Linked DNA regions of Macaca fascicularis. The protein of the gene in region 5 interacts with the protein of the main gene of each other region in a pairwise test. Links are inferred from orthologs where the notes say so. Each region holds a gene or a part of one and is shown on either strand. Other genes may lie near its edges.

Evidence for each region.
Region 1: the proteins of SIAH1 (region 5) and INHA interact in binary tests that used the Homo sapiens proteins (3 or more experiments, as listed by UniProt). The two-hybrid records come from large-scale screens. The link is inferred for Macaca fascicularis from reciprocal best matches to the Homo sapiens genes SIAH1 and INHA.
Region 2: the proteins of SIAH1 (region 5) and TMEM43 interact in binary tests that used the Homo sapiens proteins (3 or more experiments, as listed by UniProt). The two-hybrid records come from large-scale screens. The link is inferred for Macaca fascicularis from reciprocal best matches to the Homo sapiens genes SIAH1 and TMEM43.
Region 3: the proteins of SIAH1 (region 5) and RAD51AP1 interact in binary tests that used the Homo sapiens proteins (3 or more experiments, as listed by UniProt). The two-hybrid records come from large-scale screens. The link is inferred for Macaca fascicularis from reciprocal best matches to the Homo sapiens genes SIAH1 and RAD51AP1.
Region 4: the proteins of SIAH1 (region 5) and ATN1 interact in a two-hybrid assay, tested with the Homo sapiens proteins (2 studies listed by BioGRID and IntAct). The link is inferred for Macaca fascicularis from reciprocal best matches to the Homo sapiens genes SIAH1 and ATN1.
Region 6: the proteins of SIAH1 (region 5) and KHDRBS3 interact in a two-hybrid assay, tested with the Homo sapiens proteins (3 studies listed by BioGRID and IntAct). The link is inferred for Macaca fascicularis from reciprocal best matches to the Homo sapiens genes SIAH1 and KHDRBS3.
Region 7: the proteins of SIAH1 (region 5) and UPP2 interact in binary tests that used the Homo sapiens proteins (3 or more experiments, as listed by UniProt). The two-hybrid records come from large-scale screens. The link is inferred for Macaca fascicularis from reciprocal best matches to the Homo sapiens genes SIAH1 and UPP2.

What each region holds. Positions count from the first base shown.
Region 1 is NC_088386.1:115,506,176-115,508,726, reverse strand, and holds the end of INHA (inhibin alpha chain), read right to left. Parts: intron 1,523-2,551; coding exon 690-1,522; 3' UTR 501-689; downstream 1-500. UniProt on the Homo sapiens protein: Inhibins and activins inhibit and activate, respectively, the secretion of follitropin by the pituitary gland.
Region 2 is NC_088376.1:152,403,601-152,407,100, forward strand, and holds part of TMEM43 (transmembrane protein 43), read left to right. Parts: intron 1-1,054; coding exon 1,055-1,172; intron 1,173-3,454; coding exon 3,455-3,500. UniProt on the Homo sapiens protein: May have an important role in maintaining nuclear envelope structure by organizing protein complexes at the inner nuclear membrane. Required for retaining emerin at the inner nuclear membrane.
Region 3 is NC_088385.1:5,402,313-5,405,812, forward strand, and holds part of RAD51AP1 (RAD51-associated protein 1), read left to right. Parts: intron 1-809; coding exon 810-860; intron 861-1,314; coding exon 1,315-1,424; intron 1,425-2,554; exon of another isoform or gene 2,555-2,573; intron 2,574-3,500. UniProt on the Homo sapiens protein: Structure-specific DNA-binding protein involved in DNA repair by promoting RAD51-mediated homologous recombination.
Region 4 is NC_088385.1:7,870,146-7,874,107, forward strand, and holds the start of ATN1 (atrophin-1), read left to right. Parts: upstream 1-1,162; 5' UTR 1,163-1,324; coding exon 1,325-1,351; intron 1,352-1,476; exon of another isoform or gene 1,477-1,495; coding exon 1,496-1,633; exon of another isoform or gene 1,634-1,711; intron 1,712-1,782; coding exon 1,783-1,896; intron 1,897-2,847; coding exon 2,848-3,962. UniProt on the Homo sapiens protein: Transcriptional corepressor. Recruits NR2E1 to repress transcription. Promotes vascular smooth cell (VSMC) migration and orientation. Corepressor of MTG8 transcriptional repression.
Region 5 is NC_088394.1:44,266,633-44,269,517, reverse strand, and holds the end of SIAH1 (E3 ubiquitin-protein ligase SIAH1), read left to right. Parts: intron 1-460; coding exon 461-1,311; coding exon of another isoform or gene 1,312-1,414; 3' UTR 1,415-2,385; downstream 2,386-2,885. Other genes in the region: LONP2 (lon protease homolog 2, peroxisomal), read right to left, coding at 1,295-1,414. UniProt on the Homo sapiens protein: E3 ubiquitin-protein ligase that mediates ubiquitination and subsequent proteasomal degradation of target proteins.
Region 6 is NC_088382.1:145,088,316-145,092,525, reverse strand, and holds the start of KHDRBS3 (KH domain-containing, RNA-binding, signal transduction-associated protein 3), read right to left. Parts: upstream 2,801-4,210; 5' UTR 2,378-2,800; coding exon 2,290-2,377; exon of another isoform or gene 1,332-2,289; coding exon of another isoform or gene 1,325-1,331; intron 1-1,324. UniProt on the Homo sapiens protein: RNA-binding protein that plays a role in the regulation of alternative splicing and influences mRNA splice site selection and exon inclusion. Binds preferentially to the 5'-[AU]UAAA-3' motif in vitro.
Region 7 is NC_088386.1:53,595,542-53,599,041, reverse strand, and holds part of UPP2 (uridine phosphorylase 2), read right to left. Parts: coding exon 3,387-3,500; intron 1,234-3,386; coding exon 1,087-1,233; intron 1-1,086. UniProt on the Homo sapiens protein: Catalyzes the reversible phosphorylytic cleavage of uridine to uracil and ribose-1-phosphate which can then be utilized as carbon and energy sources or in the rescue of pyrimidine bases for nucleotide synthesis.

The DNA.
Region 1 (2,551 bases), on a different chromosome or scaffold from region 5:
AACACATATATCTCTCCCTTACATCCCACCCGAGCTTCCCAAGTGACTCCAAGATCTGGCCAACTCTGGACAATTGTCTCAGTGTGGCTCCAAAGGTCACAATCTCTGACCAGGCTACAAATCACCTGACCTTGGGCTAAGTGCCCATCAGCTGGGGCAAAGAATGGCAGGGGAGGGGACTTATGGGACTTATGGCTGCCTTGGATGTGGGCACGTGAGTGCAGCAGTCTCCCTTAGGTGTGCAGGGAAGGCACCCTGATTGACATGTCTGGTTCAGCTTGCACGAGTCCAGCTCTGTCTCCAGGGTGGCTCTCCAAGGAGCTTGGAGCACTATTGTGCCATCCCCAAGCATCGTAGATTCCCGACCGATACACATCCAGTTATAGCTCTTGAACTTCATGTCTCCAGGGTCAAGTGTGGCTGAGTGACCTGGGATCTCACAGTCCCATGCTCCTGGGGGCCCAACTCCATGTCGGAGAAGCTGGAGAACGTATGCCAAGTTGTATGCACTGTGTTCTTTATTGAGACAGAAGTGGGATGGGGAGGGTAACCCATAGGCAGAGAAGTGAAAGGAGGGAGGAGTGGAAGCCATCTATTTCCCAACTCTGCCTTTCCTCCCAGCTGATGATGGTGGGGGCTTAGCCACCAGCCATGGGATTAAGAAAGAAGACCCACCCCCCTTAGACCCCTTAGATACAAGCACAGTGTTGCGTGAGAAGGTTGGGCACTGTTTCATACTTGAAAGAGTATCCTCCATCCGAGGTGGTGCGGACATGTAGGGGCCTCATGGTCCCTGGGAGAGCAGCACAGCAGGGCTGGGCCCCTGGCAGCAAGGAAGGGGGCTGGGCTGGGGTAGGGGGAGCCCCAGGGACTGGAAGGGGCAGGTTTGGTGGGATGTGCAGCCCACAACCACCATGGCAGTAGTGGAAGATAAAACTGGGAGGGTACACGATCCACCGTTCCCAGCCCAGCTCCTGGAAGGAGATGTTCAGTGCTACTCTGTGGCAGTTGGCGTGGGCAGCTGGTTCCTCCGGAGGCCTCTGCAGCAGGCGCAGAGCAGAGGGAGACCAAGGCCAGGACATCGGGGGAGTTGAGCGTCGGGCTCTCTCCCCTCCACTGGGTGGTCTGGTCCGAGTGTGGGCCACCAGGAAGGGCGTGGCCTCAGGCTGGGCTGAGCAGGTACAGAGGGGACAGCGCAGCAGCAGCACCAGGACGGGGTGGGTCAGCAGTGAGAGAGCGGAGGTGGCCAGGTGCAGCACGGCCCAGCGAGGGGGGGCATGGCCCAAAGACATGGGCACAGCCACAGGTCCTGCCGGTGACAGTGCCAGCAGGCCTAGCAGGGGCTCAGAGCTATTGGAGGCTGCTGTGCCCTGCCTGTCCAGCCCAGTGTGGAACCACAGGTGGGCTGAAGTCACTTGGCGGCTGCGTGTGTGCTGGGATGGCCGGAACATGTATGTAAAGAGGCCCTCCTCAGCCTCCTGGGCCAGCCCTCCGGCAGTTGGCTTGTCCTCACAGCTGGCACCTGCAGGAGACAGAAGAAAAGGGAGAGGGCAGCCCTGACTGGCAGGGCCTGGTACCCCTCCTCTTCAGCAGAAGGGATGTGGCCGCCAGTCATGAGCCAATGATAGGCTGCACTCTGCTCCATGCCCTCCAGGATGTGGGGACTCTCCTGAGTTTGGGGAGAGCTTCTGTAGGCTCCCCATTTTTAAATTTCATCATGAAAGGACTTTAAAAAACAGAAGACATTGCCAACTTCTCTCTGAAGTGGTTTTACCAATTAACATGCCCATCAGCAGTGTGTAAGAGGTCCTGTCTCTCTCCACTTCACCAGCACTAAGAATTGGTATTAGACTTCAATGCTTACTCACCAGACGGTGTTAAACAGTATCCTGAGTGGTGTCTACATGGATGGTTGTTATGTTACTGTTTTTTTTTTTTCTTTTTTTTTGAGAGAGAGTCTTACTCTGTCACCCAGGCTGGAGTGCAGTGGCATGATCACGGCTCACTGCAGCCTCTACCTCCTGGGCTCAAGCAATCCTCCCACCTCAGCCTCCTAAGAGACCACAGGCGTGTGCCACCACACCCAGCTAACTTTTGTGTTTTTTGTAGAGACAGGATCTCACTATGTTGCCCAGGCTGATCTCAAACTCCTGAGCTCAAGCAATCTGCCTGCCTTCGCCTTCCAAAGTGCTGGGATTATAGGTGTGAGCTATCACACCCAGCCGTATTACTTTTTTTATTTTTTTATTTTTTTTGAGATGGAGTCTAGCTCTGTGGCCCAGGCTGGAGTGCAGTGGCACCATCTCGGCTCACTGCAACCTCCGCCTCCCGCTCTGCCTCCCGGGTTCAAGCAATTCTCCTGCCTCAGCCTCGCGAGTAGCTGGTGCCACCATGCCTGGCTCATTTTCTGTATTTTTAGTAGAGACGGGGTTTCACCATGTTAGCCAGGATAGTCTCGATCTCCTGACCTTGTGATCCTCCTGCCTTGGCCTCCCAAAGTGCTGGGATTACAGGTGTGAGCCACCGCGCCCGGCCCATATTACTCTTTATA
Region 2 (3,500 bases), on a different chromosome or scaffold from region 5:
TCAAGGAAAGCCCTCTGAAGAAATGGGGTTCGAGCAAAGCTGGAAGACTATGTAAGAAGCTGGCCAGGCATGACTGCAGGCAATCGCTGTAGGCAGAGCAAACCCATGCACAGATACACAGAGGGGAGAGGACGCTCGACCTGAACTGGGAACAGCAGCCAGCGGGGTCAGGGCACCAGCAGCAGGGTTGGTGTTGGGGGGATGTGGCAGGGCTCTGGCAGGTGGCTGTGTGGAGAACACGGAGTGGGGTGATAGAAGCAGGGCCAGTAAGGCTCCTGCAGGCAGATGGTGGCGAGAGACTCGGGAATATGTGACCTGGACTGGATGAGGTGATGGGGGAGGAGCGGGCCATGTCTTTTCCCCTAGATGTGAGTGGGTGGGTGGGTGTGCCATGTGCTGAGATGGAGAAGGCACCAGTGTCAGTGCTGGACAGGCCGAGATGTCAAGTGGAAATGTCGAGGAGGTGGTGGGAGCCACAGGTTTGTGAGGCCCAGGAGAGGGCCAGAGCTCCAGCTTTAAATTGGAGGGTCACAGCGTATGGAGGCCAAGGAAGCAGATGGGATGTTCGGGGGGAAAGTATGGACTGAAGCAGCTAAAGAACTGCAGCGTCTTAACAGACAGGAAGAGGGACAGCGACAGCGATGGAGCCTGAGAAGGCGGGTGCGGTGTCCCAGGCCATCTGCAGAGGGTCCACGATTAAACAGATCACACACATAGCACGGAGCATGCTGCCCAGCAGGCACACTCAGACCTGCTCAGGGGTGGTGGGGAGGGTCCTGCTCATTCCAGGTGAGACTGTGGGCTGAGGGCTCCAGGTGCTGGCAGCCTCTGAGCTGAGGAGGGCCAGTACCTTCCAGAGATCTCATGCCTTGCCCTGTGCTCTGCCAGATGGGCAGAATGACTTAGCCCTATAGGAGGCTTGCCCCACCTCCCTCTGGCCTGTTCGGAAATGGCCAACAGCTCCCGAGTTGGTCCAGCCCCCTCAGCACCTGCCCTGCCGACTGGGTGCACCGCTGGCCCTCAGCATCCTGACCTGCCCCACCTTGTCCTGCAGGAGGTGTTTCATAGAGAACTAAGGAGCAACTCCATGAAGACCTGGGGCCTGCGGGCAGCTGGCTGGATGGCCATGTTCATGGGCCTCAACCTTATGACACGCATCCTCTACACCCTGGGTAGGTGTCAGGGTGGGTCACTGCCCTCCCTCCTGCACCCCCACTGGCCTCTGCCTGTCGCATCATCTCAGCCCTTCCGGCCTGATGGGATGGCCCCTGCACAGAGACCAAGCATTTGGCTCATCTCTGTATCTCCACTCCATAGCCTTGGGATGAGGGAGCAGAGGAAGGCAGGCTGAGGGCAGGAGCTGCCAGGGGCGAGGCTGGGTGGGGCTGACTCTGGGGCACTGGTCTCACTCCACAGCCTGAAGGTTCGTCCATCCCCTGGCTCGCTCATTTGCTCATTCCTTTGATCCACAATTGATACCACATGGGAGCCTGTCAGACCTGCATTTGAAATCTGTCACGTCCAAGCTCTGGGTGCTTGGCCATTCCCTTCCCACCTCAGCTTCAGTCACCTCACCCCTCACATGCAGAGTTTTATGAATGTGGCAAATAGGAAACACCCAAAACTATCATGCTTCCTTCCTCACTCTAAAACCTGGGCTAGATTTGGGCAGCCAGCAAGTCCGGAGCATGAAGGAGAGTTCTGGGCCGCTCCTTGGCCTGAGGTTGGCACCAGCGAGCTCAGTAGGAGTCCTGTGGCCCAGTGTGGTTCGGGATCTGAGTGCCCAGGGTGACTAAGTACGTTCTGGGCCCAGGAGGATGGGGTTCCTCAGAGGACTGTCCATCCAAGCCTTTCCCTGGTGTGTATCCCTTCCAGTCACATGTTTGGGTCACGCCTTTTCTGGGTGCCAACAGAAACCTCTTCCCCACTCAGGATGTACAAGTCAGAAGAGGTCTGGCTGCACATCTCGGGCTGTCTGAGCCGGGGGGACCACCTCCTTTGTTTACAGTTGGGAAAACAGGCTCGGGAAGGGAAGGACTCTTTCCTTGAGCCTTTCTTTGGACAGCTGAATTGTGCTCAGAAAGACTAGTGACATGGTGGGCACATTAGGGAGACATCAGCATTTAAGTGGAATCCTCTTTCTTGCCTATGTGACCTTGGGCAGACCAGTTCCCTTCTGGAGCCTTGGTTTCCTCGTGTCTGTCTCAGTGGGCCCTTCTTTGGATCTCTACGTCTGTGATCCCAATTCACTCTATGTCTGGAATGAGCCAGACTCAGGACAGACTTAGAGCATGGAGGGACCCCCAGGGTGGGTGGGGTGAGTCGCTAGTGCAGCAGGGAAGCGCACACTCCCCCATGCGTTTGATAAATACTGACCGCCACGTGTAAGACTCCACAGCGAGAGAGACAGACAAGGATTAGAGCAGCGGCTCACAGCCCAGGCTCTGGGCCCAGACAGTCTTGAGTTCAAATCCTGGTTCTGGCACTTTCTAACAGGAGGACTTGGGGTGAGTTTCTTAATTCCCTGAGCCTCAGTGACCCCGTGGGCAAAATGGAGTTAAGAAGAGTGCCTACCTTACGGGGTGGGCATGAGCGCTTCATGAGATGGTGCACGTGGTGTCTAACACATAGGCAACATTCAGAAACACGAACTTTGCTTATTATAAGGGCTGAGTAGCAGTGCTGTATGGGAACAGACCAGGATGAGGCCAGGTGGTGGCTTGCAGGGTGTGCTGCAGGTATGGTGGGCACCAGGGCTTGCTCTGCAAACCCAGTGATTCCAGACCACTGGTGGCCCGGGAACTGAGCAAAGATTCCCTGAGTGGACATCAGCTATGGAATGCCAACCTGGAGAGGTCATACAAGGCAAGAATAGGGTAATTACGAATTTAGCTGGATTCTGGGCTTTCTCCTATTGGACCAATAGTTTGTGAGATCCTTGAGGAGAGGCCAATGCTTAGGCTAATTTATTTCCTCTAGTACCTGCCGGTTCAGTGCTGGGCACATAAATAATCAGTAACATCCTGCTGCATGAATGAACCAACACCTCTAGGAATGGCTGAGAGGCCCAAATAGGCACAGGAGGCTCCATCCACAGCCTCTTGTATGAGTGTGCAGGACCCAGGGTATTTCCAGCATTACAGGCAAATGTCTTTATGCTGGCCTCAGACTACTCTCCACATATAGTATTAAAGTTTACAAAGCACTGCCACATCCTCTCCCCGGAGCAGGGTAGAGTGGGTGGCTCAATGTGCCCAGCCACGCAGCTCATAGCAGAGACTCCTGTGCTCCCTTAGCTCTCAGAACGAGGCTCCTTGCCTTCCACCCCACTGACCCGCTCCCCTCCTCACGCACGTAGCAACAGGGGCCCATCCTCACCTAGGGACAGGAGCGATCTGCTGAGCTGGTGAGGTGTAGAGTGGGTGGCACCTCATCACCTTTCTCCTTTCCACAGTGGACTGGTTTCCTGTCTTTCGAGACTTGGTCAACATTGGCCTGAA
Region 3 (3,500 bases), on a different chromosome or scaffold from region 5:
TGCTGATGGGAAAGTAAAATAGTGCAGCCAAATTGGAAAATGGTTTAGCAGTTCCTCAAAATGTTAAACATAGAGTTATATGACCCAGCCTATGTATGTATCCAAGAGAGATGCAAACATGCCCACACAACCTGTACATGAATGTTCTTAGCAACATTATTCATAATAGCTAAAAAAAAAAATGGAGGCTATCTAAATGTCTATCTGCTAATGAATGGATAAGTGAAATGTGGTATCCACAAAATGGAATATTTTTCAGCTATAGAAAGAAATGACTACTGATAACTGATATATACTGTAATATGGATGAACCTTGAAAACATCATTCTGAGTGAAAGAAGCCAGATATACAGGTCACATATTATACGATTTCATTTGCATGAAATGTCCAGAATAGGCAAATCCATAGAAACAGAAAGTAGATTCATGGCTGCTAGGAGCTGGGAGAGAGGTAAACAGGAAGGGAATGCTCATGGGTATGGTGTTTCTTTTTGGAGTAGTAAAGATGTTCTGAAATTAGGTAGTGATGGTAGTTTTACAACTCTGCGAATGTACTAAAAACTGCTGAATTGTTTACTTTAAAACTTTATGATCTGTGAATTATATCTTAAGAAAACTGTTCTAAAAATATAAATTGTTTAAGGTACGTCTCAGTGCTGCTTCTTTTATGGAACTTTTCCTTCTTTGATGTTTTTTTCCTCTTACACTCCATAGCACTTTTGACCAACTTGAATAGGACTTTATGATCTGCCTTTTGTAGTATAATTATTAGCCTGTCTTATTTCCCCACCCTCCTCCTTTAATTGCAGACTCCCTGAAGGTACTTTTAGTATTCCAGCTAGTGCAGTGCCTTGTACAAAGTAAGTGCTTGGTAAAATACTTGTTAAAGTCTGGATTGGGAAGAATAGATGTAAAAAAGTGATAATAATTTTAATTTAATGTGAGAGCTATAATATCTGCTAAAGGGGAGTGGGTGAGGTCAAGGAAGAGTTTTAAGCGGAAGTGATGTTTGAACCAAGTCTGTTTTGGGTTGAGTAGGTGTTTCCCACCTGGACACAGCTGGTAGGTGACACAACAGTCATTACAAAGAGGCACATGCTCCTCCTATTTCAAACATCTTATTCTGTATATAACGTGATACTGTGACATTTTAAGAGTCCCATCATCAAATATCTATTAATGATGATGATTGTTTAAAAACATTTTTGTGAGGTTAGCAACTCTTGGATAGTAATTTAGGGAAATCTCAAACTTTGCTCTTCAGTTGCGACTGATGTTTTGAAGAACTCATCATTACTTGTGTATCTATTTTAGGATGGCTTTAGATGACAAGCTCTACCAGAGAGACTTAGAAGTTGCACTAGCTTTATCAGTGAAGGAACTTCCAACAGTCACCACTAATGTGCAGAAGTCTCAAGATAAAAGTAACTTTATTTTCTGTATATTTAGCTTTAAAACCTTCTTAATGCTTTTGTAAGTATTTCTTTGGGTGGGCCTTCACAGAGGAAAGAGTAAAACGTGAATACTTTGTACTATAAATAGACCCATTTGCAGAGGATACAACTGGATTTAGTTCTTAATTCAGCTGCCTAAATCTCACACAAACAGATATACGTCTCTGCTTCATACCCAGAGTAAGCTTGAGGGTGTGGACTGTGAGCCTCATTGTTCACATCGCATGTTGTTGTACAGTGAACATTTAATTTCTTCATCAGATGGATTGATCTGTACAGTCCTAACAGTCCATCTCCTTTTTTTCCAGATCAGTTGAACATGCCCTAATTATGGTAATTTTTATTTCTTACAAAGGTCAAAGGTATTAATTTGGTTAGGAAGCTCAGTAGACTTAGAAGAATGGCTTCTGGATTTCTCTGTTGATTTTCTCGTTTGATTTTTCTGGCAACTATGCAGCAGATGATATATTAATATTCTAGAGGGGCAGAAATCATTATTCCTGAAAAAGATACTCTACTGCTAAAATGCTTTTTGGCTTAAAGTTTTTATGTGGGGGGATATTTTAGCTTATTATCTTATTCAGGGGTATACATGGGCTTTTTTTTCTTTGTTTTCTAAATGAGTACTCCTCCTTATTTAATTATTTGAGACAGGGTCTCGCTCTGTCATCCAGGCAGGAATACAGTTTCTTTTTTTTTTTTTTTTTTTTTGAGATGGAGTCTAGCTCTGTCGCCCAGGCTGGAGTGCAGTGGCGCGATCTTGGCTCACTGCAAGCTCTGCCGCCTCCCGGGTTAACCCCATTCTCCTGCCTCAGCTTCCCTCGAAGCTGGGACTACAGGCGCCTGTCACCACGCCGGGCTAATTTTTTTTTTTGTTTGTATTTTCAGTAGAGATGGGGTTTCACCATGTTCGCCAGCATGGTCTCGATCTCCTGACCTCGTGATCTGCCCGCCTCGGCCTCCCAAAATGCAGGGATTACAGGCATGAGCCACCACGCCCGGCCAGAATACAGTTTCTTGATCATGGCTTAATACAGTCTTGACCTCCTGGGCTCAAGCAATCCTCCTGCCTCAGCCTCCTGAGTAGCTGGGACTACAGGCATGTGCCGCCATGTCTGGGTAATTTTTTATTTTATCAAGAGGGGTCTCACTTTGTTGCCCATGCTGGCCTCAAACTCCCAGCCTCAAGCAATCCTCCTGCCTCAGCCTCCCAAAGTGCTGGGATTATAGGCAAGAGCCATCTTACCTGGCCACCTCCTCTTTAAAAAGAAATGAAAGTGGCAGAAGCTACATTTCTTTGAATATACTTTTTTCTTGTAAATTTGACTTTGAAACCATGTAAATATTTCCCACAATCATAAAGCAAAAATAAAATTTTAAATTCCTAAAAGAAGAAGAAGAAAAAAAAAGAAACGAAAGTTTGATTAGGAAGACTTGTAGTAACCAAGAATCAAAGAAACACCAAAAGAGAATTGTCATAAATTACATTTAAAATGGAGGCACTGAAATTCATCTCTCTCTTTTAAGACATTGTAGGATGTATAAGGGGACTTCCTTAGAAGTATTAATATTATACGACTTCTTATTAAATAATGCGCCTTGTGGCACTGGAATTTAATAGTACCACTATTAAGTCTTAAAGTCCTCTTAGAATGCTTTGGATCATCTTAAGCTTATTATAACGATTGAAGAGTTCTTATGTTACTAAAAACATGGATTTGCCTACACAGAATTGATAGTTAAAATTTATTGACCATTTCCTGTGCATGTCACAATAATAAGCAATTCCCATGTAAGATCCACGTTTGGTCTTCTGTAATACCACTTGGCAAGACACTGTTTTTATCTCCACGTTATAGATGAGGAAATTAAGTCTTAGGATAAGCAACTTGGCCATGGTCATATACCCATACCCAGTTTACATGGTACAGCCTGAATTTAAACATAAGTATGTTAAATTTCAGAGCCCAGACTTCTAACCATATGTTACCCTCTCTGAATAAAATTATTGTGCTAGTTTGAGTTTGGGATCATTTATCTATATCT
Region 4 (3,962 bases), on a different chromosome or scaffold from region 5:
TGCTCACGGATATTTTGAGTCTTTAATCATTCATGTGAAAACCCTGACTTTTCCTCTAGCCTTAGGGAGCTCAAGTACTAGAGAATGAGTCCTTTATGAGGCTCTCAAAAGTGAACTTCTACAATTTGGGGCTACCTAGGTTTAGTCTTGGGATTGGTAGGGCTGTGTTCCTTTGTATTATAGAATGGGACATTCTTCTTCTACCTACTCTGATGTGAGAAAAGATTCTTTTCATATCTCTGTGACTGATCTAGGCCTTCTGAGAATTCTCCCCACCAACTTCTGAGGAGAATATAGCAAAGTATAGAAGAAAGAGCATGGGCTTTGAAGTCACAGACGTGGGTTTGATTCTGGCTCTGTCACTGGTTCCTCACTGTGTGAGGTTGAGCTAGTCACAATCACCATCTTTGAGCCTCAGTTCCCTCACCTATATAATGAAGGTAATAATGCTTACCATTCAGGGTTGGTTGTAAATATTAAATGAAATCATGTGTGTGAAGGGCTTGATATAAAGAAGGTACTCAATAAATTAATACTTGAACGTCATTTTTTTTTTGAGACAGAGTTTCACTCTGTCACCCAGGCTGGAGTGCAGTGGCATGATCTCGGCTCACTGCAACCTCTGCTTCCCAGGTTCAAGTGATTTGCTTGCCTCAGCCTCCTGAGTAGCTGGGATTACAGGCACGCGCCACCACGCCTGGCTGGGTTTCACCATGTTGGCCAGGCTGGTCTTGAACTCCTGACCTTGCGATCCGTCCACCTCGGCCTCCCAAAGGGCTGGGATTATAGGCGTGAACCACCATGCCCCGCTCCATTTCTTTATGTTCCTTTGCAAGGCTCCGTGGAATGTGTGCGTTCACAAATATCCTTTAGGGATCATGAAGGGTCAAACTGTGTCATCTCCTGGATTGGAGCTTGTAGGTACATCTGAATTTTCTGCCCTCTACAGAGGTGAAAGAGATTATACTTTAAGCAGAATCTCCCTGCCTTTTAGATAGCTAAGGTGGCCCATGGGGCAAGCCAGCAATGTCTTGTGGTATCTGTACCTCTTGGCCTAAAGGCTTAGGGTTGGGCCGCTTGCTCAGTTCTCTGACAAGCGTAATAGTATTCCTTTGTGACTCTATTCTCCCAGTGGGAGACTCTGATGGTTTCCTTCTAACAGGTTTCACTGAAAACAGATCCTGCAAAAGTTCCAGGTGCCTATACTGGAAACTTGGAGATCCTGCTTCCCAGACCACAGCTGTGGGGAACTTGGGGTGGAGCAGAGAAGTTTCTGTATTCAGCTGCCCAGGCAGAGGAGAATGGGGTCTCCACAGCCTGAAGAATGAAGACACGACAGAATAAAGACTCGGTGAGTTAAAATGAGAGATGTGAAAGATGAGGGGCGGGGCAGGCAAGCTAGGAGGAAGGGTCTAGAGAAGAACAAATAATGTGCACCATAAAGTTAGCTGCAGTGTAAAGAACAGTGTTACCTACCTCCTTCCTCCTCCTGCAGATGTCAATGAGGAGTGGACGGAAGAAAGAGGCCCCTGGGCCCCGGGAAGAACTGAGATCGAGGGGCCGGGCCTCCCCTGGAGGGGTCAGCACGTCCAGCAGTGATGGCAAAGCTGAGAAGTCCAGGCAGACAGCCAAGGTATTCTGTCCTCAGGTCCTCCCACAGGATGCCCAGGCACTGGGGCTGAGGGGGTGTGTGTGTTGTCGGGGGAACTTCCTGTTTGGCAGAGGGTAACGGTGAAACTTGGGAGGTAGGGAAAAGACAGGAATTTTCTTTCTCTCTAACAGAAGGCCCGAGTAGAGGAAGCCTCCACCCCAAAGGTCAACAAGCAGGGTCGGAGTGAGGAGATCTCAGAGAGTGAAAGTGAGGAGACCAATGCACCAAAAAAGACCAAAACTGAGGTGGGAGACCCTTGTCGCCATCCTGACCCATCTTGTGATCATTCTTTTCTCAGATTTCCTTATGCTCACTATTCTTAGCTGGATCTCTCCTGGGACATAAGAGAAAGGCCAGATCATAGTGCTTATGAGAGCAGTTCTGTCTCTAATATGCCAGAGAGAGTCTTAGAACTTTGACAGACCACCAGATGACCTGGCAGGGCCAAAGGGGACCAGAAGAGTTGGGGGATTCTAGTCTCTGGGTGAGAAGTCTTAGTGGGAGGAACAAATAAATCTTAAGGAAAATGCAGAAGTGGTCTTTCTTTTTTATTGTTTTTTTTGGTTTGTTTTTGAGACAGAGTTTCGTTCTGTCACCCAGGCTGGAGTACAGTGGCACAATCTCAGCTCATTGCAACCTCCGCCTCCTGGGTTGAAGCAGTTGTGCCTCAGCCTCCCGAGTAGCTGGGATTATAGGCATGAGCCACCACGCCCGGCTAATTTTTGTAGTTTTAGTAGAGATAGGGTTTCACCATGTTGGCCAGGCTGGTTTGGAACTCCTGGCCTCAAGTGATCCTCCTGCTTCAGCCTCCCAAAGTGCTGGGATTACAGGTGTGAGCCTCTGTGCCCGGCCAGAAGTGGTCTAAGAACCAAGGGCTTGGGGGATGGAGGATGGTTAAAGTGGTGGTTATGAGATGGTGGAAGACAGGGATTTGGAGTCAGCTGTGGGTAAAGACAAGGTGCTTGAGATGGATCCTTGAGGAAGGAATAGGGTTTTATAGGAGAGAAACAAGACTGGCTGCTAAGGAGCAGCCAAGAATGTGGGGAAAGTGGGAAATCCCCAGATGGCAAGAGGTACTCACCACGTCACAGTACAACAGTGTGCTGTGAGGGGAAATGATTTTATGCAAGACAGGCCCTAAATCTCAGGGAAGCAGGAAAGGAAAAGAGAAAAAATGAGGCTTCCCTTTTCTACAGCAGGAACTCCCTCGGCCACAGTCTCCCTCTGATCTGGATAGCTTGGATGGGCGGAGCCTTAATGATGATGGCAGCAGCGACCCTAGGGATATTGACCAGGACAACCGAAGCACGTCCCCCAGCATCTACAGCCCTGGAAGTGTGGAGAATGACTCCGACTCATCTTCTGGCCTGTCCCAGGGCCCAGCCCGCCCCTACCACCCACCTCCACTCTTTCCTCCTTCCCCTCCACCGCCAGACAGCACCCCTCGACAGCCAGAGGCTAGCTTTGAACCCCATCCTTCTGTGACACCCACTGGATATCATGCTCCCATGGAGCCCCCCACATCTCGAATGTTCCAGGCTCCTCCTGGGGCCCCTCCCCCTCACCCACAGCTCTATCCTGGGGGCGCTGGTGGAGGAGTTTTGTCTGGACCCCCAATGGGTCCCAAGGGGGGAGGGGCTGCCTCATCAGTGGGGGGCCCTAATGGGGGTAAGCAGCACCCCCCACCCACTACTCCCATTTCAGTATCAAGCTCTGGGGCTAGCGGTGCTCCCCCAGCTAAGCCACCTAACACTCCGGTGGGTGGTGGGAACCTGCCTTCTGCTCCACCACCAGCCAACTTCCCCCATGTGACCCCGAACCTGCCTCCCCCACCTGCCCTGAGACCCCTCAACAATGCCTCAGCCTCTCCCCCTGGCCTGGGGGCCCAACCACTACCTGGGCATCTGCCCTCTCCCCATGCCATGGGGCAGGGTATGGGTGGACTTCCTCCTGGCCCAGAGAAGGGCCCGACTCTGGCTCCTTCACCCCACTCTCTGCCTCCTGCTTCCTCTTCTGCCCCAGCACCCCCCATGAGGTTTCCTTATTCATCCTCTAGTAGTAGCTCTGCAGCAGCCTCCTCTTCCAGTTCTTCCTCCTCTTCCTCTGCCTCCCCCTACCCAGCTTCCCAGGCATTGCCCAGTTACCCCCACTCTTTCCCTCCCCCAACAAGCCTCTCTGTCTCCAATCAGCCCCCCAAGTATACTCAGCCTTCTCTCCCATCCCAGGCTGTGTGGAGCCAGGGTCCCCCACCACCTCCTCCCTATGGCCGCCTCTTAGCCAACAGCAATGCCCATCCAGGCCCCTTCCCGCC
Region 5 (2,885 bases):
TTTATCCAGGACTTCACCTGTAACTCCCTATACCTATCAATAGCTGACTCCAAATTAGAAAGAAATAAGAGTAAGGGAGTCTCAGGGAGAGAGTCCTAGCAAAACGGATTCGATTAAACTTCAGTTCCTTGTATAGTTTCTCTAGTTGTTTATGGTCCATCTTCTATTTTAGCATTTATTATTCCATGTAGTCTATCCAAAGACGATTAAGGGAGTTCCAAATGTTTTCCGGAATATTTTGAAAAGAGAGCTTATCCAGTGTACAGATCCTAATAAAGTGCACATTCAGTGTAATTTTATTTTTTAGTATGTTACTTTTTAAATTCTATTTATTTTTCTTTCTCTTTTGCTCAGTAAATTTTGCATGAAACTTTAAGTACTTCTGGCATGTAAACATTATTTGTAAAATAAGTCATGGTTATAATTATTTTTCTCCTGCCTCCTTATGTATTTATTTCAGAAATGAGCCGTCAGACTGCTACAGCATTACCTACCGGTACCTCGAAGTGTCCACCATCCCAGAGGGTACCTGCCCTGACTGGCACAACTGCATCCAACAATGACTTGGCGAGTCTTTTTGAGTGTCCAGTCTGCTTTGACTATGTGTTACCACCCATTCTTCAATGTCAGAGTGGCCATCTTGTTTGTAGCAACTGTCGCCCAAAGCTCACATGTTGTCCAACTTGCCGGGGCCCTTTGGGATCCATTCGCAACTTGGCTATGGAGAAAGTGGCTAATTCAGTACTTTTCCCCTGTAAATATGCCTCTTCTGGATGTGAAATAACTCTGCCACACACAGAAAAAGCAGACCACGAAGAGCTCTGTGAGTTTAGGCCTTATTCCTGTCCGTGCCCTGGTGCTTCCTGTAAATGGCAAGGCTCTTTGGATGCTGTAATGCCCCATCTGATGCATCAGCATAAGTCCATTACAACCCTACAGGGAGAGGATATAGTTTTCCTTGCTACAGACATTAATCTTCCTGGTGCTGTTGACTGGGTGATGATGCAGTCCTGTTTTGGCTTTCACTTCATGTTAGTCTTGGAGAAACAGGAAAAATACGATGGTCACCAGCAGTTCTTTGCAATTGTACAGCTGATAGGAACACGCAAGCAAGCTGAAAATTTTGCTTACCGACTTGAGCTAAATGGTCACAGGCGACGATTGACTTGGGAAGCGACTCCTCGATCTATTCATGAAGGAATTGCAACAGCCATTATGAATAGCGACTGCCTAGTCTTTGACACCAGCATTGCACAGCTTTTTGCAGAAAATGGCAATTTAGGCATCAATGTAACTATTTCCATGTGTTGAAATGGCAATCAAACATTTTCTGGCCAGTGTTTAAAACTTCAGTTTCACAGAAAATAAGGCACCCATCTGCCTGCCAACCTAAAATTCTTTTGGTAGGTGGAAGCTAGACACATGAAGGTAAATGAAAGGAAAGGCTGTTAAATACAGGAAACAGTTGCATGTAGTAACACTAATATATTTAAAAATAAGTCAACAGTAAACCACTGAAAAAATATATGTATATACACCCAAGATGGGCATCTTTTGTATTAAGAAAGGAAGCATTGTAAAATAATTCTGAGTTTTGTGTTTGTTGTAGATTGATTGTATTGTTGAAAAATAGTTATTTTGTTTTGTTTTTGCGTGGGAGTGTGTGCGTGCGTGGGTGTGTGCGTGTTTGGGTTTTTCTCCTTTAACTGACAAGCCATCTTGAGTGGTCATGGGCCACTGCTTTTCCCCTTTGTGAGTCAATACATAGTGCTGCTGTGTGCTTTTTTGTGTGTGTATTTGCTAATTTTTATTAATTTTAGTTTTTCATTAAATAAATTTGACTTTCCTTTCTGTAATTCAGGTTTTTCTTCACTTTTTTTGTACCATTTTAAAGTTAGTGTCTTTTGATATGCATACTTGTTATGGTAAAAGTTTGTAACATGTGTTCAATATTTTCTTTTCCCCCATTAATCAGTTCATTAGAAATATTTTAAAATCAGCTACTTTGTGAAGCTATGAGTTCCAGAAAGTAAAGGTGACATCGGAAAAATGATCAAAAGCTATTTAAAGCATCTGTAAGATGGTCTCTCTCTTTCTCTCTTCTACGGATGAGTCACACCTTTGAGCTTAATCTTTGAAAGGTTAGAGAATAAATTGATTTTTATAAGTACTGCAAATCAGGCTTTTGTTTCCTTTTTCAAATATCTTGGATAAATCACATGTTTAAAATTTGTTCTTGTATTTATTGGTTTTGCAAAAGAAGGCATCGTCATGCACAGTATTTGTAATTAAAAGCAAATCATTTGTTTAAAAAGGCAGTTTGCAAAAAAATGTTTTTGGTCTTTTATAATTCTCATTAAAAGAATTTCTGGCAAATTAAAAAAATCTTACTGTGTCTGCTTTAGCTCTAAGTTTGATAAAATCCAAAGTTATTTTCCTGTTTCATTCCGTACTTTAATTATATAGCAGAAAGCTGTGTGTTGTCATTTTTAAGTGTGGTAGAGTTATACTCTAAATCACAGCAAATAACTGGGTATATGGCTTCTGGATTACAGTCTTTCCCATGCTCTGCCCCTCTTGCCCACATTTTGATTCTTACAACTGTCAGGAGAATGACTAAAATGCTGACCACTTTTCACCTCTTTAAAAAAGCACAATGAAATAATAAATTTACTATTTCATAGCCTAGTGGTTAAGAGCCTTGGTTCTGCAGCCAGACTTCAGGCACCTAAGTGCCAGTCTCGGCTCTACCCCACTAACCAGCTGTGTGACCTTGGGCCCCAGTTTCCTAATGTGTAAAGTGGGGTTAAATTATGGTAGCTACTTAAAAAGTTTTAATGGGGTACAGGTATGTTACCTCAAACAGTGCTTTGTTCATATCAGCA
Region 6 (4,210 bases), on a different chromosome or scaffold from region 5:
AACTGCTGAAAACACAGTTGCATTAGAGGCAAACACAAATACAACGAAATTAAGAAAAAACGCTTTCATATAGCCCATAACAAGATGGTTGGATTTAAAATCAAAGCTTCCTCACAATCATGTAGCTTCAGATTTAAAACACTTGTAATTTTGGACCTACGTAAGAGTGTAATTAATGTTTTAAGTGATAAAGCTTTGCATTCTGAGTATCAGCCTGTGATTTAAGAGAAAAATGTTTCAGTCTGAAGTAATCTAACAGTAAGACAAGCTTCTGAGCAGCACCTCCTCCTTCCTTCACGTGTGAGAAATATACTTCTTACAAGAATTACTTTTACGAAAAGTAAGTTTATCAAGTTTAACATCTAAAAAACACTAAATGGCAACATATCCCCAGTAAATATCTGCTTCAAGTAACTGGAAGCCATTAACACTAGTAAAAACACAGAATCCAAAAGAATTTTGGACGTTTTAGCAACACAATACTATGGCAACATGGCAGAGAAAATCATTCTGACTTTTAAAAATAAGATAACACACTACACTTTTAGTTTAACTGTTCCTTAATTAAGTACAACCTAACTTTGATTCGGCCTCTCTATTAGGAAAAATGCACTTGAGTCCACAGTCCAGAATATTTCCAATTCCACGGATCTCATGCAATGTACAAAGAAATTTCTTTCACAGAGACGACAGCCCAGCAGGCGATAAAAGATACATGTAAATCATCAGGCGCAAGGAGTACAAACTCAACTGCAGAACTGTTCAGAGGGCACAGAAATCAAACTTAGGAAATTCTTTTCTTTTCTTTAGTAATGCATGCCCATTACTTTTTCACAAGCCCATTTTATTAAAGAAATAAAAATGAGCCTGCAATTAAAATAAAATGGGGGAGCTCCATAAGCCTATTTCTGTTCATCAATTCAAATATTCTTAAATTCTTGGAGACCGTAAGAGTCTCTCTACCACCATCGGTCGACTACACACACACCCTACTCTGAAGAACTGGCTGAAACAGGCAAATAGTGGAGGTCACTGTTTTAAAATATAGGTATCTATATACAAATAGAATATGTCTGCCTCATCTTTCACTTCCAACAATAAAAGAGCCAGGGCGAGCACTGAGAGCAGCAGATCCGATTCATCCAGGGAACCACGGACTATCAGTGCACAGTAATTCCTGCAAAAGGTAACAGATCTGACCAGATCATGTTGCTGCCATTTCCCAGAGAAAAGACAGACCAATTGCCCCCACACCCATCTTCATCTGAAATACATATTCCAGGAAAAGTAGGAGACTGCTCCCGGGAAGGAAGGCTTAATTTACCGTGCATCCCAGCAGATGATTCAGGAAGCCACAGGAGGAGAAAGCCAGGGGAACAGGGTCCCGGGTAGGCGTGCCTCCAGATACCCCTGTATCCCTGTCCGGCAGTACTTCCTAGGACCCTTCATACCCTGAGCTGGCTAGAGTCGTGTGAAAACGGCAAGGACTCCCTTCACCACCGTTCCAAACCTCAAGCCAGCCACCAATGAGGGCCACCCAACCCAACGCCCCCCAGAAGGGTGCTCTTTTGCCGGCCTCCTCTCCCCTACTGACTTCTCCAAGGGCCAGCCTGCAAGGCTTGGCATGGGCTGCCCACCCCACCCCGGGGAGGGCTGACTGCCCCGCCAGGGCTGCTGGAGCCTGGGCACAGGAGAGACAAAGGGCTGGGAGGGTGAACTGGGCTCCTCCCCTGGGACCACGGAGCTCCTCTCCTCTCAGGTGCTGGGGTCTGACCCCAACCCTCTTCCAAGGTCCCCAAACTTCGCTAACAATCCAAGCACCTGTTCCCTTCGCCTCTTCTGCATTTCAGTCCCTCAAGTCCTTCCATTTTCCTCCAGCTTTTTCTCCAGTACCTCAGACAATCCAAACACCCTACTTCCCCGAGTCTAACACGCTCCCCTCCCATGAGATAATTCAACCTCGTCCCCAACAAAGCCCCCAGATGGTCGCTGTCCCCTACCCAGAAGTTTCCCCTGGGTGTCTCCGAGTCCCCAAAGATTTCCTTCAAGTCTCACCCACGCGCCCCAGCCTTCTCCTTCCTTTCCGAGTCCCCAAAATTCACATCGGGGTCTTCCCCTAGGTGTCCCACAGCCTCCCAGGTCCCCGTGCAAACGCCCCCGGGGGCCATTCGGGCCTCCGTCTCCGCCGCGTCCGCTAACAGCAGAGCGCACGGAGGCGCCCCCCGGGCCCCCGCGTTTCCACCCGGCCCCCAACCGCCGCCGGCCGGCAGTTAACGGCCGGCGCCTCACCTTGGTTCACCAGGCGCAGGGCGTGCGTGAAGGAGGGGTCCAGGGAGTCCTTCTCCGCCATCAGCTCGGGTAGGTACTTCTCCTCCATGCTCGCCGGCCGCCGGGCCCGGGACGTGGACTCCAGGCGCACGGGCGGCGGCGCCAGGCAACCCCCGACTCCGCCCGCGCCCCCAGCGGCGCGGACCCGGGGGCCAGACGCGGCGGCTGCGGCCAAGCCGGGCAGTCGGCTGGGAGGAGGCGGCGGCGGCGGCGGCACGGGGGCGGGAACCGGCCGCTGAGCCCCGATCCCCGGTGGCCGCCGAGTGCCCAGCGCCGGCGGCCCCCGCGCTCCGGGCGCGGGCCAAGGAGGAGCGGGCGCGGGCGGCGCGGTTAGGCAGGCCCTCGGGTCGGGCTGGCGGCGCGCTCGGCGCCCCTGAGGCAGTCCACGGCGATCCCCGCCAGTCCCGCCAGCACCTGCCAGCGCCCGAGCCACAGCTGCAACCTACACGCCGCGCGCCTCCCCGCGCACTCTGAGCCGCCGCGCCGAGCGCCCAGCGCCTGCCGCTGGCCCCGCCCCTCCCGGCCCCGCCCCGCCCGGCCCCGCCCGGCCCCGCCCCGCCCCGCCCGGCCCCGCCCCGCCCGGCCCCGCCCCGCCGCCCCGCGCCTGCGCACTGGCGCCCACCGCCCCACCGCGCGCCGCCTCCTGGGGCCGCTCTCGGCTGCGCGCCCGTCGGGACTAACCGGGCGTCTGCGAGAAGGGGTGCTTCAAGGGCCTCTCCCGCGTGCCTGGCGCCCACCTTTGGCCCTGAGGGTCGAGTGGGGAGCCCCACGACCCTCTTACAGCCTTCCAGATGCACGGACTGGGAAACTGGGGCTCAGAGAGGTCAAGTGGCTCGCCCAAGGTCACCCAGCGAGTGATCCTGGGAAGAGGGGACAAGGGTCGAGCTGGAGCTGGGAAGGGCGCCCCAGTTCGCCCCAGCCGCGCTCTGAGGAAAAGCAGCGGGACCGTCCTGCTCTCTAAAGCTCCGTGGACTTCTTTAAGTTATGTCGCGTTGCTGTCCCCTCGTATTTACAAGAGAGTAAGGCAGGGGCGCCGTACTTTCTCCTCTCCTGAGCTCAGAGGGCCAACCTCCTGCGATCCGCCAGCTCAGAGGTCTGTTACATAAAAGCGCGTGTCCTTCTGGGCGTCTTTGTCATCCCGACTTGCTCCTGGGTTGTCATTCTCTTAGGTCATAAACCGGCTGTGCCTGGACACAGCTGAGTGAGCCGCGTCTGAGCTCATCCGCTCCCGGGGAGAGGCCCTGGGACGCCCCGCCTGTCGGTGGCAATGCCCTCTGTCCCCTTCCGCCCACCCCCAACCCCCAGCAAATGCGCTCCCAGGCCATTTCATATTTCCCGAGGCATGTGGAATAAACGTCCCCCAGGAAGGCCAAGGACTTCAGTCCTTGCCCTGACGTTTTTCCTGCCTTCAAACACCCAGCTCAAGTCCCAGCCTCAATGTCACCTTCCCTGGACAGCCTATCAGGACCTCCCTGGCAAAGCAAGTCACTTCTCTGTGTCCCCCCCAGTTCGGTCAGAGGTCATTCACAGTCAGCTGTAATTCTGTTTTCAGTAGACCATGAACATCAGGGACAGAGCTTGAGTTTTGTTTTTGAGGGGGAACGTCCCCAGCGTGTCATACAGGGGGCAGGGATGGAGGGTACTGGAAATGTCTCTTGGAGGAGTAAGTCAGTGGCATGCCACTTTCAGCCAATGGCCTGAGGACAATCCCCACACTCCCCCAGGCAGCCCCCGCCCTCCCAGTGCAAATGGAGGCGGCTTTACAAACCTCGAAGGGAGTGGGAGGTGGTAGAAATCTTGGAAGCTCTAAGTCCCAGCCCCAGTACTCAATTGCCCTCACTCTCAAGGCCCCACTCCTCCCCTCTCCGGGTAAGGTGCCTTT
Region 7 (3,500 bases), on a different chromosome or scaffold from region 5:
TTGCATAGCTTTAAATGCCATCTATATGCTCTCAACTTAGAATTTTATGTCTCCAGTCCAAACGACCCACCTAAACTCCAGATTCATAAATTCACCTGCTTGCTTGGCCTCCATTTTGATGTCTACTACCCCAACATCTTCACCCCAATTTTTTCTATCCCAGTTATACAACCTCACGCTTCCAGTAGTTTAGGCCATAAACATGGGAGTCGCTTTTAACTCCTGCCTTTCTCCCCAAATTTACATCAAGTCATCAGCAAATGTTGCTGGGTTTGTCTTCAAAATGTTTCTACAATCTGACTACTTCTCACTACCTCCGCTGCTATCACTTTGTCCATCAACTCTCACTAGACTACTGCATTCGCCCTCTCGTTCTTCTCCCTGCTCCACCCTTCACCCCATTCGGGTCTTCCCAGCTCAGCAGCCACCGTGATTCTGTTAACACACAGGTCAGATCCAGCCACCTCTTTATTCAAAGCTCTCCATTTCACCCAGAGTTCTCACAGTGTCCTATACAATCTGTGTACCTTCCCTCTCTCCTACCATTCTCCACCACTGCCTCTCCCCTCCTGATCTCTTCCCTCTTCCTCCAGTTCTCCCTGAGTGCTCCTCCTGCCTGTGGCCTTGGATTTGCATTGATCAGAATGCTCTTCCCCCAGATAGCCATGTGGCACATTCTCCTCCCATCCTTCCCTGACCGTGCTATTTAAAATTATGACTGATGGACTATTTTAGGAATTTCTTTTTGTATCTTGTCTCGATAAATTCAGTTGTAATAGAAACTACCAGCCACTACCAGGATGAAGGAAACCGAACTTGCTGTCGAGTCTGAACATGTCACCAACTAGCTGTTGACCTTGGGCAACTTGATTTTGACCCTTGAGGTTTAGTTTCCTTATTTGCATAATAGGAATAATGTCCTGGCCACTCACAAGATATTATGAGATAATGTATATTATATACAATTACAAGTCATGCATTCAGCCCAAGGTAATATATAGCTGGACCCCTTTTTCTTCTCCGGAAGTGTAAAAGTAGCTGCATGAAGGAGGAGAATTTGACCCTAAGCATTCATGAAAAGCTTACCTTTTAGACCACAGAGTCCACACATGGCTGTAAACACTGTAGATTCCATTTCAATATTCCTGACGCCAGCTTTATATGCTCTCTTCAAGTAATCTAACTTTTTTTCTCTGGAAAAGGAGCACAGTGCTCCATCTAGTCGGCCTTGGCCTGAAAGGGAGGGGAGAACGTTTAGTGACTTGATGTCCCACCCCACTGTCAGTGGCGTCACAAGAGGCTGGCTGTTGGCTGGAGCCCTCCGCGGCTGTCTCTAACTCTGCAGTGTGCTTCCCATGTAGGATAAACTGAGCTGTGTGACTCTTCCTACCAGAGGACCATGGAACGAGGCTGTCCCTGGCTCAGGAGTCTCATATGTAGGAAGGAGCGTCCATGGCCGAGGGCCTCAATTCTGGGGTCAGTCACTGCTGAGTGGCTATGGTAGCCAGCACTGTGCCCAGGCAAATCAGGAAGTGGCGGGTTGCTGTGAGAGCTGCCCTTTGAAGAGAATCTCAGGTTGCTCCAATGACTGGGGAATGGCCCAGGGACGGGTGCTGGGAGAGAAAAAGAGGCTTCCAGACACTAAGCTACTTGAGGATCAGGACAGTGTTTGCACATTGCGCCTCTCCTTATGCCCTTTGCGACACTGTCCGCCTTCCGCCTTTCCGCACACCTCTCAGGCTGCATGCCACCCCTTGTGATCATGTTTTCCTTTCCAGGCTGCTCCCAATATTCATTCGTCACTGAATTTCACCTGTATCCTCCAGTGCAGGCAGAAGCAAGAAAAGGAAAGTCTGATGTCATTACTCCTCCTGTACGCTGTGCACACCCAGAAATAGACCTTCTAATGCCTCCCCACTCCTGAAAAGGCCTGGATTCAAGCAAATGGCCTAATAGCACGCGGTTGCCATCCATTATTTTCGCAATCCCCTTTTTGGTGCTCTTTCCTCTCTTTTTCTCCCTTTCCTCTAACTCTTTCATGCTACCTTCACCCCGGCAGTCTGCTTCCCCTTGTTCCTTCTCTTCTCATTAGAGCTGCCTGCCGACACCTCTGACAGAGTGCGATTTAAGCTGATTCAAACAAGACCTCGCAGGAGCCACGCAGGTAATGCCGACGCAAGTGTCTGGTCGGAGGGGAGCAGCCTCACCCCCGCCTCAGCAAACGTAGCCCCAGATGTGGGTCAGGGCTTGCCAAGGCTGCCATGCATATATTCTACATTTTTAAATGTTAGTTCTTTCAAAAAGCCAGAAATGTGGATGTTCATATAACATTTCCAGATATTGTAAATGTTGGCAAAATAATTCACATTTTTTAAAATGCTGTGCAGGCCAAAGGAAACATTGACTTTAACAAACTGCCATTTGCAAACTCTGCTTAACATATCAGTGAGTGACCCTCGGGATGGAGGGACTGTGAGTCAGTGGGCTTAAACAGAGGGTCTCAGCCCTTTCAGACCCCAACAGCCCTGCTATTTTACAACAAGTATGTGGTAAAACCACCTTTACTAACTGGAAGTAAAATGTATAGATAATATGACCTATCTCCAAACATAATTTCTTAAAATCCAATATAGTATTTTAAGTTTGATCCAAAGGGAAAATAAAAATAATTTATAATGAAATAGTATGGATTTTGAAAAGAATATAACTATACTGCCAGATTTTCAGAATGCCCTTCAAGGCACGGTACCAACTCTATGTAGATTCTTTCTTCTGGGACGAGAAAAGTTGGGGGTCTGTCTTTGAAGGTTTCTTCCCCTGGGCCTTTCATCTCTAGTAGCAAGCCCGCTACATAGCAGTCACCTTCCATTTGTCTCTAAACTCGGTCTGGGGGCCCCTTATTCATGGCTGAGAGACAAAACCCCACTCGGATCACACCATCCAGTGGGATTTATACCTCCTCCCCAAGCATTTCTCCCCATTTTCTGGCCCACTCTTTCCTGGGGACAGAATCCCTTTTAAGGTACAGACGAATGGCAGAAACACAGAATCAGTATACTTCCCTTCTCTTAGAGATGCTAATCTAAGTTAAAGGCATTCAACAGAGATAAGATTTTGTGAACATCACTAATTACATTTTAGTGTTCAATTTGTTCTTGGAGGATTAAATTCACCCTCAATAGAAATTCATTCTGGGTGTTTCTCTGCTGCTCGTTATGTCCTTGTGTCTTTATGCTTTAGTAAGTAAAAAAAGGCTGTTTCAGTTCCTTTTTAATCCACAAATATTAATTTTCTAAAGGAGAGCTTTTAATATAAATTATGGGTTTGAATAACAAAGAGTTGCTGGCATTTTTCTGTTGCCTTCCCAGTTTATAAACTGTTCTCACCTTCATAAAAATCATAGGTACACATTGTATGTCCAATGAGGGTTGGGAAGTTGGGGATTTCTTTGCTACAGTTGAACAGTTCTTCAGATAGTTCCTTGTCAAGTTCCGTACTTC